Linked DNA regions of Neurospora crassa OR74A. The protein of the gene in region 1 purifies or fractionates together with the protein of each later gene. This does not show direct contact. Links are inferred from orthologs where the notes say so. Each region holds a gene or a part of one and is shown in the gene's direction. Other genes may lie near its edges.

Region 1 (3,555 bases):
CGTGTGATGAGCGACGTCTTGCCGACTGTTTGCGCGCAATCGTTGAGTTAGCATTGGTGTCTCGGAGAACATCGTGGAGAAAGTGTTGTAGGTTGAGGTAATCGCATACCGCTTTGTTCGCCCAAGAAGACCAACCTGGCGAGGAGAAAGAGTGGTTAGCATCTTGTCTTGTTTTGTCTTCCATTTGACTTAAGTGCATTGTCTGCAAAAGTGTCGGGTATGTTGTCTTACTTGAATTTCTTCAAGGGGTTGTTGTATGACCCGCCTGCTTGCGCCATTGTGATGGATGTGTTTGCGGATTAACGGTATTTGGCGGGGTAGGTAGGTAGGTAGGTAGGTAGGTAGCTGAAGGTATTCGGAAACACGATCAAGGGGAGGAAGCTTTCGGACTTTGGAGGAGGTGGTGGTGGTTAAGTGGCAGAAAGCTTAGTAGTGTAGGCGGTCGGAGTTGGTCTAGAGTTAGATAGGTGTCTGCTGGTCGTCGAAGTGGAAGATGGACGGCGGCGGAGAGTTGCCGGAGACTGATCATGCAGCGTTGAGTGGTCTCAGTGGTGCGACGGACGGGGCGTGGTGGCCGGGGGGTGGATGACAAGGGAGCTTGGAGGACAATCGGGTCGGTGTTTGGGATCCAGTCGGGGTCTCGTTGCCGACTTGGTTGCTGGGGTCTTTGCAGTCCGTCGAGTCTTCGTTTACCAAACAAAAATCGGGTCGAGAGATCGTTTTATAAGAGTTGATACCACAGAGAGCAGAAAATACTTGAACATTTAATATTTTGTTTGGATACAGATTAATTGATTGACCGACATTCCGTATGTACGTATGTACAAGTTTACATGTTTTTATCCATTGTTTATGCATAACCTCAAGTTCGAACAACAAAGTGTTTCTTGCGACTATTATTCAGTCTTCTTCCCCGAAGCGGACTCATGCGAGAGAAAGGGGACCGCGCCAAGCGATCAGTGGAGGGAAACAGTGGCCGCCCGCCGCCTTTCTGCGCCCAGACAAATTCGACACTTCACTTGACCAAAACGACCGAGACCGGGCATCCAATGGAAGCTTGGCGGCCGTCATTGGATTTGTCCAGAGGCCGAGGCAGCTTGGAAGTCTGATTGGCTAATTGCTCCAACTGCCAGCTGAGCACGGCTGGGGAAGGGAACTGAAGCGCTGGACGCTTGTGTTCCATGAAGTTGCTCTTCCCTGTCCTGTCTCGGGCAGGTCTTTCTTATCTTATCGCTGCCTCCTGTCGCCGCTGAAATTTTGAGTTGCACACCCCACTGGGCAGTCGGATTGATTGCAGAGGAGACCCCAGAATTCCAGGCGGTTTCGAGGTATCAATATTTCCAATTTCTTATCTGCCTCGAACCTCCGCCGACTCGTTTGATTTCTTCGAGTCGTCAACCCAACAACACAACACACCATCACATCACATATCCAAAATGCCCGTCCTAAAACCCTTGTCGGGCAATCCCGAAGCCCCCAAGCAATACAACCAACCGTCGAGAAAGGGCAAGAAGGCGTGGAGGAAGAATGTCGACGTGACAGAGGTCGAGCAGGGTCTCGATGAGTTGAACGCCCAGATTATCAAGGGGTACGGCGCTCCTTCTGTGATGCTTTGTATTACCAAAGACACCAATTGGTTAACATGAATTATCGTATAACAGTGGTGTCATTGCCGAGAAGACCTCCGAAGAACTCTTCGCCATCGACGTCAAGCCCGACACCGAAATCACCAAGAAGCTCCCCAAGCAACTCAAGAAGCCCTTGAAGGCCGACGAGATCCTCGCCCAGCGCTCCGCCGTTCCCGCCGTCTCCCTCAAGAAGCGCCCGGCTTCTGAAACCTCCGGCAAGGTCACCGACGGCGTCCTGCCCTCCAAGCGCCTGCGGGCCACCTACGTCACCCAAAAGGAGCTCAGTCGCCTGAAGCGCGTTGCCGACGGCCACCACACCACCACGGTTGAGGTCGTTGACGCCACCTTTGACGCCTGGGCCGACCCAGAGGAAGAGCAGAAAAAGAAGCAGCAGGCCGCGGAAACGTTCAACTTTTTGCCCAAGGTCGAGAAGCCCAAGGCGCCCAAGACGCTCACACAACAACCCATCTCCCTCGCCGCCACCGGCAAGCAGCTCCCCGCCGTTCCCAAGCCCAAGGGCGACAAGTCGTACAACCCCGCCTTCACCGACTACTCGGAGCGCTACCAGGAGGAGCTGCGCAAGGCCGAGGAGGCCGAACGGAAGCGGCTGGAGGAACTCGAGAAGGAGCGTCTCAAGGCCGAAGCGGCCGCCAAGTCGCGCGCCGAGGCCGAGGCCGCCGAGAAGCGCGCCGAGCTGTCGGAATGGGAGGATGATTCCGCCTGGGAAGGGGCCGAGAGCGACGCGGAAGGGTTGGCCAACAAGAAGAAGCGGCCGGAGCGCAAGACGCAAGCCCAGCGCAACAAGATCAAGCGCCGCAAGGCCGAGGAGCAGCGTCTGAAGCACGAGGCGGCCATCAAGAAGAGGGAGGCCGAGGCCGCGCGGGTCAAGCAGATTGCCAAGGAACTGGCCGAGAAGGAGAGGCAGCTTGCTCTCCAAAAAGCCGAATCCAACAATGTCGAAGAGGACGATGCTAGCCTTGAAGAAGATGACGACGTCGAGCTGCGCCGTAGGCAACTAGGCAAGTTCAAGTTGCCCGAGAAGGATCTGGAGCTGGTCTTGCCGGATGAGCTGCAGGATTCGCTGAGGTTGCTCAAGCCGGAGGGTAACTTGTTGAAAGACAGGTACAGGAATATGTTGCTTAGAGGCAAGGTGGAGGCGAGGAGGCACATTCCCTTCAAAAAGCAGGCCAAGACAAAGGTCACGGAGAAGTGGACTTTCAAGGATTTCAATCTGGCTTGAAGCGGCTCGGCTGGGTTTAAGTTTTGGGGCTTTACGGACATATACATATTCGGATTTGTTTGGTAATTGTTTTTCCTTCTACAAAATATTCCCTTTTGGTTTTTGTTAGTAGTACGTTTGTCATGTGTATATTGGCGTTTACGGTTTTCTCACTTGGTCTTCAGTGCAATAAAAGGTTGGAACATTCAAAGTGGTCCTATGCTCGCGTTTTTGTCTTTCAAGTCTTGTAGTGAGATGACATTACATGAATGTCTTCACACTCGCCCATTAACACACCAGAACATACGTAGTGACGGGATATTACTTGTTATTCGCATTATCTACAACCAAAAACCCTAACTGGATATCTTTTCCCACCACCCTACCAAATCACACACTCACCACGCTTCCCCAACTCCTAGTCTGTCTATTACATTACTACCTTGTCTCTCCTCTCTTCCCACTCTTACCCCTTCCCATCCCATCCCCCCTTTCCATTCGGAGCTAGGCACCCCTCACACCACACTCCCTCACAACAACAAATCCCCCTGAGCCCCATTCATCCCTCCCATGCCATTCATCCCCCCCATCCCCGGCTGGTACGCCGAGCTCTGACTGACCACGTACCCCTGTCCATACCCATAATGTCCCGCATCCCCACCAAAACTGTCGCCGGGCTGCTGTATCTGCATCTGCCTCATCTGCTGC
Region 2 (3,934 bases), on another chromosome or scaffold:
GTCTAGGTAGTATAAGATAGGTCTGTCTGTCTGTCTGTCTGTCCGGGGCCGGGCCGGGTCGGGTCGGGTCGGGTCCGGGGCGCAAAAACATCCGGAAACCTTGAAACATGCTCCGATTCGGGTTTTGTGTGTCCCGGTTCCCGGCCCCGGTTGTTCTTCTTCTCGTGCTTTATTTAAATCGGGCGTACCTTGAGGCTGGACACAAGCTCCGAGGTCTCGAGGAGAGTCAGGGTGCTGATCTGGTCAACAATGGCGGCGATCTTGGGGTTGGCGGCAGGGGCGGCGGTGGACTCGAAGCGCTTCTGGACGAGGAGGGAGCTCGAGGCCCGGGTGGATGCGCGGAGCTGGCGGGCGGCGCATTGCGCGGCGAAGCGAACCGAGAGAGACATTGTTGGTATGTGTGTGTGTTGGTGGTGGTGGGTTGTGTGGATGGATGGATGGAGAGAGGGGAGTCGGACTCGGACCGGAGGAAGGAAAGAGAGAGGGCGCGCGGGGGCGGTCGGATTGGGGTTCTCTTTTTTTGGTGAGGGAGGCTTGCCGTCGACGTCGACTTCGAGGATCGTACAACCGAACCGTACAACAACTAAACGGAGATATTTTTTTGGGGACGTTGTCGCGCGCTCCCGGGTGCTGCGAAATCTGGGACCCACTACTGGCAGTTGGCAGCTTGGTGGTTTGGGCGTGCAAGTTGGATCTATGACGGCTGGCTGACCCGGAGCTGCAGCTGGAGGGGAAAACCCAAGCTGCCTGCCCCGCGCGAGTCTGGGGATTAGGTACCTCTGTACCTTGAAGTCCACTGAAGACGCGCTAAAGGATGGGCCCCTGTCATCCCAAGCGCGCCCCTGCTGCCGCTGGGCTGTTCGTCCCACCCGGAACTAGGTTCCACTTTTGAAGAAGATGGCTCCCTTGCCTGCCGCAGCCGACTTACACTACACTATGTAGAGTACTATGCAGTACACCCCAGCACATGCGCCTAGCGCTAAGTAGCATGTACCCCGCACTATCGTTCAGCGCGATAAGGAATTTCATGTGGGAAAAAGTTCCAAACGGGAGAAAGCGAAGTTCAATGGGCAAAAAAGTTAGAGATAAAAAAAAAAAAGAGACTAAGAAAAACATCACCGTTTTTCACAACGACGACGACGACGACGACGACGACATCCACGCCAACCCGTCCCGTCGCTTTTCCCTGGCCATGATGGCCGTGATCGATGTGAGCCAGCAGAGGGCGTCGCTCCTTAGCGATGCGACCACCTTGGACCTCTTGCCGCCAGAGTTGCTGCTCATAATCCAGGATCACCAATCGACCAAATTCCTCGATGCGATCGCCAGCGCCGCTCTTGTCTCGACAGCCACCGACCGCATCTTTACCCATTTCGAGTCTGTTTTTGCCGATATTTGCGCCAGATGGATTCTGTCTTCTCCAAAACTCGATACGCGAGTCCTTGCCGCTTTCGCAAGGATCTTGCCCTTCGCCCCGTCGCTGTCCGTCTTCCTCGTGTCGCATCTTCGAGGAGGATCTTTTGGTGGTGTTAATGGTGGTAACCACAACGACAAAAGCAACGACAATGATGCTTCTTCAAAACTTAAACCTCTCGATTCCCTTGACCTAGCTTCGATCCGCCCAGATGACCTCCCAATTGTCCTCCTAGCCCTCTGGAGGCTCAACAACTTTGACAAGCGCACCTACGCCGGCCTGTCAAAGCCATCCCAAATACAGACCCTGTTCGCACACGAGAACCCCATCGTCCGATATCTTGCCGTCCGAATCTTCTGCCAGCTTCATAATGCCGCCGATGTCAAGATCGAAGCCCTCCTCGAAAAGCACATACCCAAAGATACCAGCCTTGTCGCAGAGCTCGACGGGCGCGAAGCCGACTATGCGTTCCTCAGCCTACACGAGGATTCTAGACGTGAAGACATTCAGAGCTCTCGCAGTAAATCCCAACAAACTAGTGCGGTTGACGATGCGGTTGTCGAATTGAATATCACAAACATCCCAGAACAGAACCTCACTCCTCTAGTTGTCAAATATGGAAAGACAGTCCTCCCGCGTCCCCTCGGCCCTGTGACTGCTCCCACCACCCTCGCACTTACCCCGACGACTGTTGAGAACCTCGAGAACCTCACCGGGTGCCTGCAACGACCCGGGCCTATCCTCCTCCACGGCCTGTCCGGTTCCGGCAAGACCTCCCTAGTCCACGAGATTGCGCGCGAGTTAGGCAAGCAGAAGCAACTAGTGACACTACACCTGAACGAGCAAACCGACGCCAAGATGCTGCTTGGGCTATACACCACCGACTCGAAACCCGGTTCCTTCTCGTGGCGCCCAGGTGTGTTGACCACTGCCGTCAAGGAGGGAAGATGGGTCTTGATTGAGGATCTCGATCGCGCGCCAACAGAAGTCATGAGCACATTGCTGCCTCTCATTGAGCGAGGAGAGCTGCTAATTCCTGGACGCGGCGAGACCATACAGGCCACCGAAGGCTTCCGCATATTTGCTACTGTCCGGACGCTGCTCGGCATGAACGACAAGGAGAACCTACCCAGCTTGATTGGTCTGCGTCTTTGGCAGCTTACGCACGTCAAGGCCCTTCCCCAACAGGACTTGAAGGATGTCATCAACAGCAGATATCCCTTGCTTCACAAATACGTTCCAGGAGTGTTGGCGGTCTTCGATGCGTTGCTGGCGGCCACCAGCGGTTCGACCCGTCTGTCGCTCGGTCGCATGGTCTTCGAGCGGCCACTCGGCACAAGAGATCTCCTCAAGTGGTGCGGGCGCCTAGATGAGATTCTCCGTGCTTCCGGCTGCAAGACTGGCGAGGAGCCCATTACCGATACTACCAGGGACCGCATGTTCCTCGAAGCGGCCGATGTTTTCGTTGGTGGAGTCAAGGAGATCCAAGCGCGTAATATTCTAATAGGTGTCATTGCGAAGGAGATGCATCTTTCTCCCGAGAGGGTTGAGCACTACTTGACGAGCTACGTTCCCGACTTGGAGGATAATGAGTCAAGACTCACCATCGGCCGCGTCTCGTTTGCAAAGGGGAGGAAAACCAGCCGTGGGGCCAAGAACAAGAGGCCTTTCGCTACCACCACTCATGCTAAGCGGTTGCTGGAGCAGATTGCGGTTGCTGTAAGGCACAAGGAGCCGCTCCTGTTGGTCGGTGAGACGGGTATCGGTAAGACTACCGTGGTTCAGCAGCTGGCGGAATCACTTGGTCACCAACTTGTCGCCGTCAACTTGTCCCAGCAAAGTGAAGCTGGTGACCTTTTGGGTGGCTTCAAGCCCGTCAGCGCACAGACCCTCGCCATGCCTATCAAGGAGGAGTTTGAGGATCTATTCGAGAGAACCGGCGTCTCTGCTGAAAAGAACAAGGCTTATCTGGACGGGATCAACAAAAAGTTCGCCAAGGGCAGGTGGAGAGAGGTCTCCAAGGAGTGGCGCAAGGCTCCCAAGATGTTCGAGCAGATCCTCGCCAAGTTCGAGAGCATGCAAGCAGCCAAGACCGTAGAGGCGGAGGTTGCGGAGGAGAACCAGGAGCAGGGCCCAGCCAAGCGTCGGAAGACCGAGTCCAGCAAGCTCCAGCGCCTGCGGGATCTCAAGGCTCGTTGGGACTTGTTTTCGCAGAGTCTTGATCAGTTTGATAGACAGGTCGCGGCTGGTCCTGGTGGCTTTGCCTTTGCTTTCGTCGAGGGCAAGATTGTCAAGGCGGCGAGAAACGGTGACTGGGTCCTGCTTGATGAGATCAACTTGGCCTCACCTGATACCCTGGAAAGCATTGCTGGCTTGTTCCAGACCAATCCCTCTCTTTTGCTCTCTGAAACGGGAGAGATTGAGAGAATCCAGGCGCATCCCAATTTCCGCGTGTTTGGTGCCATGAACCCTGCCACAGATGTGGGCAAGAGAGATCTTCCCATGGGGCTGAGATCCGTG
Region 3 (3,988 bases), on another chromosome or scaffold:
GCGATGCGTAACTTCAACAGTGCGCTTGCTTTTTGCGAATCAGGGGCTGCTTCCGGTGCCATTCTGAGCGGTGACCGTTACAAACAGTTGGCTTTTACCAAACTCGGTGGTACACACAGACGCCTTGGCAAGTATGAGCAGGCAAAAGACCTGCTCGAGCAAGCAATGGCCATGTCGGCATCAAGTGAGCTGCGCATCGAAGCCAGTGGCGAGCTTGGTGTTATCTATCAGCACATGGACCTGATGGATGATGCAAAGCGTGTGCTTCGGGTTCAGTATGAAACAGCAAAGGAGTTTTAGGCGGAGCACTTCGCGTGCCGGTCGATCGGAAACCTCGATACGGTCAACTAGCAACTGTCCCAGCAGCGTTAGGATGAGTCGTTGTTGTAATTAGCGATAAATTAGCTCCTTGAACGCGTTGAAAGGGCCCATCAGATCAAGGATACAATTGACTCGCAAGTCCTGGATGCATTTACAAGAGAACAGCGATTGAAGGGTGCGATAACTTGGGAAACAATCGGTCTCTTCCGTCTTTCTCTACGCTAAATGGGGGATACCTACGGAAGAGTTTCTGAAGATACTCCCTCATGTGAAGCGTGATAAGCGTGGTTTCTGGGTGATATGTTACCTCCCCACCACAACCCCCTTTCTTGATGCGTATTCGATGCTAGCATGCTATTTTGCTTCAGGACTTTGTCTACGTAGGCCAAGATGACCCAATGTCCGGAGTGTCTGCTCTGCCGATAATCATTGCATAGTGCAATGCCATTGTCAGCTTAAGCGACGATCAATTATGCGAGCGGGGCACGGTGTTCTGTTGAATCCATGATGATCCAAAAACTCAAAAAAAGCGTACAGCGTCCATGTGTGGTATAAACAAGTGCTTGACGACAGAACTGATGGCATCCAGAACTGCACCTTGACGGACGGTTCGATGGATTTGAGGATCGTCATGGCAGACAAGTGTTTGATTGTTGAGACGGACCGACCTAAAGTCCTCTTTCTGGAAAGGCAATGCAAACCACTTGCGTAAAGAGTCGGTAGCAATAATTCTTCATATACATATAGAGAACAAGCGCAACCACACCATAAGTGTATCAATATAATTTACATTCCACGTTTGGCTAAACACAAATCAAACATACAATACGACTGTAAATTACAGGCACGCGCATCTCCACATTCGAAGCGGGGACTTCTGGAATCTTGGTGGAGTTCAACACGGCGGATCCCTGCTTTATCAGAGCTTATCTAGGCGGTCAGCAGTGGCACAAACCGTTCCTCCACTCTAATTTTTTGACGACCATCAATCAGTACAGCCGCCCATAGTAGCGACCGGATTTTGCTGCTTTACCTTGCTGTCCCATCCTCAATTATCCTCCTGTACCTCCTTTTTTGACATTAGGAGCAGCATATCTTCAAAATGGCCGGATCGATAACAAAGCCCAAAAGTCAGTCAATCTTTCGCTGAGAACAACATATTCTTCCAATCAACACATTGACTGACGTTACTTAAAAACAGAGCCGAAATCGAAGCGTACACCCGTACGCCTCAGGCACAAGATCCAGAAGGCCTCGGCCGCGAAGCAACGCAAGGACAGAAAGCTCGCCAAGAAGAACCCAGAATGGCGCTCCAAGCTCAAGAAGGACCCGGGTATCCCGAACCTTTTCCCCTACAAGGAGAAGCTGTTGAACCAGATCGAGGAGGACCGCATTCGGAGAAAGGAACAGGAGCAGAAGCGTCGTGAGATGGCCAAGGCGGCCAAGACTGGCCAGGACACCAAGACGGGCGCCGAGGGCGATGTCGAGGCGTTCGATGACGATCTGATGGACGACGACGATGCTATGGAGGAGGATGGTAGCGACGTTGACGATGAGTCGAACCCCCTCGCTGCCCTGGTGGCCAGCGCCAGGAAAGCTGCCGAGCAGTACGACCGCGAGCTCCAGAGCGGCGACGAGATGGACGATGACGACGAGTCCGACGACGAGACCGATGGCGAACCCACACAGTCCGGCGTTATTGAGGTTCCCGGCGGCGCCTCCTCGCGCAAGGCTTTCGACAAGGTCTTCAAGCAGGTTGTTGAGCAGGCTGATGTCATTCTTTACGTCCTCGACGCCCGTGATCCCGAAGGCACCCGCTCGAGGGACGTCGAGCGCGCCGTCATGGCCGCCGCCCACGGTGGTAAGCGCCTGATCCTCATCCTCAACAAGGTCGATCTGATCCCTCCCCCGGTCCTCCGCGGCTGGCTCACCCACCTGCGCCGCTACTTCCCCACGCTGCCGCTGCGTGCCTCCAACCCTGCCCCCAACGCCCACACCTTCCAGCACCGCGACATTACCGTCCAAAGCACCAGCGCGGCTCTCTTCCGTGCGCTCAAGTCGTACGCCGTCTCGCGCAACCTCAAGCGCTCCATCCAGGTTGGCGTAATCGGCTACCCTAACGTCGGCAAGTCGTCCGTCATCAACGCCCTCCTGTCCCGCCTCAGCAACAGCCGCGGCCAGCACAACGCCTGCCCGGCCGGCGCCGAGGCCGGCGTCACCACCTCGATCCGCCAGGTCAAGATCGACAGCAAGCTGACGCTGCTCGACTCGCCCGGTATCGTGTTCCCTTCCACTGCCGGCAACTCGACCTTCACCCCCAAGAACCAGACCGAGGCGCACGCCCACCTGGTGCTCCTTAATGCCATCCCGCCCAAGCAGATCGAGGACCCGGTCCCCGCCGTGACGCTGCTGCTCAAGCGCCTGTCGGCCACCCCCGAGTTGATGGACAAGATGATGAAGGTGTACGACCTTCCCCCCTTGCTGCGCGACCCCAACAACGGCGACCCCACCATGGACTTCCTTGTCCAGGTTGCCCGCAAGCGCGGCAGGCTGGGCAGGGGCGGTATCCCCAATATCCAAGCCGCTGCCATGACTGTCGTGACCGACTGGCGCGACGGTCGTATCCAGGGCTGGATCGATGCTCCCGTCTTGGCTGTGGCTGGTACCGCCACTGCTCCTGCTCCTGCTGGCGGCAAGTCTGCTACCGCTGATGAGCCCCTAGCGGATCAGAAGGTGATCGTGACCGAGTGGGCCAAGGAGTTCAAGCTGGATGGTCTTTGGGGAGATGAGGAGGAGACGGCGACTCCGGATGTTGAGATGCAGTAGAGCGATTTATTCCCCCTATCTTTGTCTGTTGGCAGTTGTTGTTGAGCATTTCACTTTTTGGTTTCTTTTTTGTTTTCGGTTGCGTCGGTGGTCAATGTCGTAATGAGTATTTTGTTGTTTTGCATGTCAGAAACACAATACAACGAACCCCGGAGCTGGACACATCTTTGTGAAGAGGCGTTTTGGCGTCAAGGTGGGAAAGAGCAAAAAGGGAGACAGGCAGGCCGGCTGGTAGAAAATAGGTCAAATATAGCCTGATCATAAACACCTCTATGACAAAGGCTTTTGAAGTGAAGCTTTAAATTCTTTCTGACATTCCCTGCATCGTTCATCATACCGAGCTGTGTTTTCAATGGCCTATTATCGAATTCGAAAGCAACGACATTCCGAAAATGACTTCATGAACGTTTGGATAGCCGAAAGTAAAAAAACAATGTATTGCTCTACAAAAGTCCATCAAGGGTATTCTTAACCTGTACCCCTTCTCAAATACTGAAGCATCCATCTTCAACAAATCTAATAAGTACTAACAAGCTCCATCTTCACCCCCCTCTTCCCCGTCGTCTCATCCTTCTGATCCGTCACCCTCACCCTGACCTTCTGGAACAACTCCACCTTAACCTCCCTGCTTCCCGATGTGGTCAGCGTGTACGTCTCGGCATCATACGTCGCCGCCGGCTCCGGCTCCGCCAGGTCACGCAGACGGATCAAGCTCTCGATACCGAACTTCGGCACGAGCACAACAAAGCCATTGCTAAAGATCTTCATGACGAAGCCGTCCTCCTCCGTAGCCTTGCCGCGCAGGGCCTGGCCGACATAATAAGCAATGCTGGCACGGCCG
Region 4 (3,504 bases), on another chromosome or scaffold:
GCCAGCTTCAACCCCGTCACGTTCTCCAGCTCATCAACCGCCTCAAACGCCTTTCCCAACCCAACCTTGATAGTCCTAAACCCAGCCTTCCTCGCCGCCTTCAGATTCTCCCCAATGTCATCCAGAAACACAACATCCTCCGGCCTCACCCCTTCTGCCCAACCGCCCCTCTTCCCCCTTTCGGAGTCAGCATTTGCCCTCGCAAACTGATCTACCTTTTCAAGCGCCAACTGATAGATCCTCGGATCCGGCTTTCTTAACCCCACATGCGCCGACGAAATGAAAACATCAAATAGCTGTCGCAACGGATCGCTGAAGAAGTCCCCCTTCTCCGCCCACTTGTGCCCCTCCGGCCAGATCACCGTATTACTCAGTGCCGCGACGACGAACCGTCCGTCTTCCTTGAGTTTTTGGAGGGCGGGAAACATCCAGGGGTCTGGAGCTCGAGCGTGCTCCATCATGTCGTGGAATAGCCACTCGCCGTCGATTTGGGGGATGGGCGGGATCGATAGTAGTTCATCAGAGCCAGAAGAAGAACCAGAAGAAGAAGAAGATGAAGAAGATGAAGAAGATGATGATGATGATGATGATGATGATGATGATGATGATGATGATGATGAGGAGCGGTGATGGTGGTGGTGCTTTTTGGCTTGTTGGTGGTGGTGGTGGTGAGACCGGTAGAAGGATTCCCAGAGGGATTGGTTGTGCAGGTCCCGGTTGAAGCCGGCGAAGAAGGCAGCGTCCATGGGAATGGAACCGGTTTCGAGACGGTGCCAGAAGCCTGAAGGGGCGGAGCGCGAGATGGAGTGGTTGATCCAGCCTGGGGGGATGGAGTGACGGAGTTCGTAGTTGAGGATGGACTGGAAGGGGGAGATGACCTGGGTTTGTGTTAGTTATTTAGTTATGTTGGTGTTGTTTTGTGAGGGGTAGATGTATTTGTGTATATAAGTGAAGTGGTGATGTGGTCATGTTGACTTACACAGACGCCGCCAATGTCAAAGAGGATGACTTTGGGCTTGGGGGACCCGGAGGACCTTTTCCCTTTGAGGATGGTTGGCGCCATGTTGTCGATGGCTTCAAGAATGTATTCAGGGGGAAACTCTTCAGGAAGCATCACACTATAATGTCATGGGACTTTGGGGGTATAAGGATGTTTGGATTCATCTATCAACAACATTGGACCTCCGCACATTGGCACCAGGAAGCGATTAGTGAAGTGAATGGTACACTATACTAGACCTCGGTTCGGGACAGTGATTGCCAGAGGTCGACGGCTACTGAAGCCCGAGACTACTTACAATGCCATTGGCAGAGCCCACAATTGCCTGCCGCTTGCGTGAAATTCTTGGCGCTAGGTCGTCGCCCACCGTGGCGCCACGGCAAAGCATGGGTGAGTGAATCGGTCGTCGCCAACCTGAGTTGACAACCCAGCGGTCAGCCGACCAATCAGGCGCGCTCTTGTTCTTAGGGTTGTGGGGATTGTAGTGCGAAATTCCTGCCCACCAAAGTTTGTTCGCGATCTCGAAATTTCCCTTCTGACAACCCAGCCCGTCTCAAGACCGTTTGTTGAGTGCACCCAGCAAAAGTAGTCAAAATGGTAAGTTGACGACCTACGGCGTGCGTCGCGGCCGTTCAGCAATGAGCGACCAGCGGCTGCGTTCAAATCACACACCATTCCCAGAGGGAAACTTGGGGGAAATTGAGGAGAAAGAGAGTCAACGCAAGATGCTTCGGAGAGGAGGAAATATTCTGAAGCGATAATTGCTGACTCGGGGATTTTGATTGTCAGGCCTTCCACAAGCTTGTCAAGAACAGCGCGTACTACAGGTAAGCAGATGTTCTCTTTTTGAAAATCCGAGAAAAATCGATAGGAGCTCGGGGTTCGCTAACATTCAATCCGCCCAACAGTCGCTTCCAGACCAAGTACAAGCGCAGAAGAGAGGGCAAGACCGACTACTATGCCCGCAAGCGCCTCATCACCCAGGCCAAGAACAAGTACAATGCTCCCAAGTACCGCCTGGTTGTCCGCTTCACCAACCGCGACATCATCCTCCAGATTGTGAGCTCCGAGATCACCGGCGACAAGGTCTTTGCCTCCGCCTACTCCCACGAGCTCAAGGCCTACGGCATTGAGCACGGTCTCACCAACTGGGCTGCTGCCTACGCCACCGGTCTCCTCCTCGCCCGCCGTGTCCTCAAGAAGCTCGGCCTCGACGAGACCTTCAAGGGTGTTGAGGAGGCTGACGGTGAGTACAAGCTCACCGAGGCCGCCGAGACCGACGATGGCGAGCGCCGCCCCTTCAAGGCCTTCCTTGATGTCGGTCTTGCTCGCACCTCCACCGGTGCCCGTGTCTTCGGTGCCATGAAGGGTGCCTCCGACGGCGGTATCTTCATCCCCCACTCCGAGAACCGTTTCCCCGGTTACGACATGGAGTCCGAGGAGCTCGATGCCGAGACCCTCAAGAAGTACATCTTCGGCGGTCACGTCGCTGAGTACATGGAGACCCTCGCCGACGACGATGAGGAGCGCTACAAGTCCCAGTTCAACCGCTACATTGAGGACGATCTTGAGGCTGATGGCCTTGAGGACCTCTACGCCGAGGCCCACGCCGCCATCCGCGAGGACCCCTTCAAGAAGGCCGAGTCCGAGGCTCCCAAGAAGACCAAGGAGGAGTGGAAGGCCGAGTCCCTCAAGTACAAGAAGTCCAAGCTCACCCGCGAGCAGCGCGCTGCTGGTGTCCAGGAGCGCATTGCCGCTCTCCGCTCGGAGTAAATTGGAAGTTGTTATGGACTTTGCTAGGGGTTGAACAACCTTTTGGGAGGAAACAGGTTCTGTTCATTCGATGCGCATGGGTGCGAAATCATCTGGGTCATGGGGATGACATGGTCTCTCAAAAGGGTTCATCTAAAAGCCAATCAACTTTCTTCTGTCTTGAGCAAAAGAGCATTACTCGGCGTTCGTTCATGTGATACCTCAATCGTAATTTGATCTTCCTTTTCCCATTTGAGACTCGACGCTGTCCATCTTTTCTTGTGATTGATTACCTTTCCAAAATCTCCAAAACCGGTGCTGACCGACGGCAAATTCTCGTGAAACACGATTCATGTAAAGTCATCCATACTCTCTCACTTCCACCGCCAAGCAATGTCATTTGCTTGGGGATGAAGATCAACTTTACAAATCTCACGAGTCATTGACCCCTCACGATTCATGGTAGGTTGCTACTGTGCGCTACATGTACACTATAACTCGATACAGGTTTGTTCGTTGTTTGTTAGTCCGAGACCTTCTAGCCAACTTGTCCCGGCCTTTCAACAAACAATTCAAGGTTGATGTGTGTTTTTCTTATCGATGACGGGATTCTCAAGATGAGTAGAGCTAAGGTATGAATTCATATCTAATTGGACAAACTGGACAAATTCTGTTTTTTTGCCTCCCCCTCCCCTTCCCCATTTGTAACTTTTATATATTTTTCTCCGAGTTCCATTGATCGCGCGGCATTC

What was found. Proteins that work in one complex are often made in the same cells at the same time.
Region 2: the proteins of NCU05233 (region 1) and NCU06468 purify together in Saccharomyces cerevisiae (affinity purification with mass spectrometry, with the first as the bait; 3 studies listed by BioGRID). This does not show direct contact. The link is inferred for Neurospora crassa OR74A from reciprocal best matches to the Saccharomyces cerevisiae genes NOP53 and REA1.
Region 3: the proteins of NCU05233 (region 1) and NCU03066 purify together in Saccharomyces cerevisiae (affinity purification with mass spectrometry; 6 studies listed by BioGRID). This does not show direct contact. The link is inferred for Neurospora crassa OR74A from reciprocal best matches to the Saccharomyces cerevisiae genes NOP53 and NUG1.
Region 4: the proteins of NCU05233 (region 1) and crp-4 purify together in Saccharomyces cerevisiae (affinity purification with mass spectrometry; 3 studies listed by BioGRID, with this or other methods). This does not show direct contact. The link is inferred for Neurospora crassa OR74A from reciprocal best matches to the Saccharomyces cerevisiae genes NOP53 and RPL5.

Annotation. Positions count from the first base shown.
Region 1 is NC_026504.1:5,668,603-5,672,157, forward strand, and holds NCU05233 (60S ribosome subunit biogenesis protein NOP53), read left to right. Parts: upstream 1-1,204; 5' UTR 1,205-1,436; coding exon 1,437-1,588; intron 1,589-1,661; coding exon 1,662-2,868; 3' UTR 2,869-3,055; downstream 3,056-3,555. Other genes in the region: NCU05234 (GTP-binding protein ryh1), read right to left, coding at 1-25, 110-135, 232-278; NCU05232 (AP-2 complex subunit beta), read right to left, coding at 3,378-3,555. UniProt on the Saccharomyces cerevisiae protein: Late-acting factor in the nuclear maturation of 60S ribosomal subunits, which is required for normal acquisition of export competence. Required for the export of the large subunit.
Region 2 is NC_026503.1:1,522,817-1,526,750, reverse strand, and holds the start of NCU06468 (midasin), read left to right. Parts: upstream 1-1,134; 5' UTR 1,135-1,192; coding exon 1,193-3,931; intron 3,932-3,934. Other genes in the region: NCU06469 (putative mitochondrial 54S ribosomal protein MNP1), read right to left, coding at 189-389. UniProt on the Saccharomyces cerevisiae protein: Nuclear chaperone required for maturation and nuclear export of pre-60S ribosome subunits.
Region 3 is NC_026501.1:4,414,055-4,418,042, reverse strand, and holds NCU03066 (GTP-binding protein), read left to right. Parts: upstream 1-1,318; 5' UTR 1,319-1,423; coding exon 1,424-1,451; intron 1,452-1,522; coding exon 1,523-3,147; 3' UTR 3,148-3,488; downstream 3,489-3,988. Other genes in the region: NCU03067 (hypothetical protein), read left to right, coding at 1-300; NCU03065 (mitotic control protein dis3), read right to left, coding at 3,664-3,988. UniProt on the Saccharomyces cerevisiae protein: GTPase required for 60S ribosomal subunit export to the cytoplasm.
Region 4 is NC_026505.1:5,646,510-5,650,013, reverse strand, and holds crp-4 (60S ribosomal protein L5), read left to right. Parts: upstream 1-1,419; 5' UTR 1,420-1,594; coding exon 1,595-1,597; intron 1,598-1,789; coding exon 1,790-1,827; intron 1,828-1,908; coding exon 1,909-2,773; 3' UTR 2,774-3,004; downstream 3,005-3,504. Other genes in the region: NCU04332 (epoxide hydrolase), read right to left, coding at 1-878, 980-1,114. UniProt on the Saccharomyces cerevisiae protein: Component of the ribosome, a large ribonucleoprotein complex responsible for the synthesis of proteins in the cell.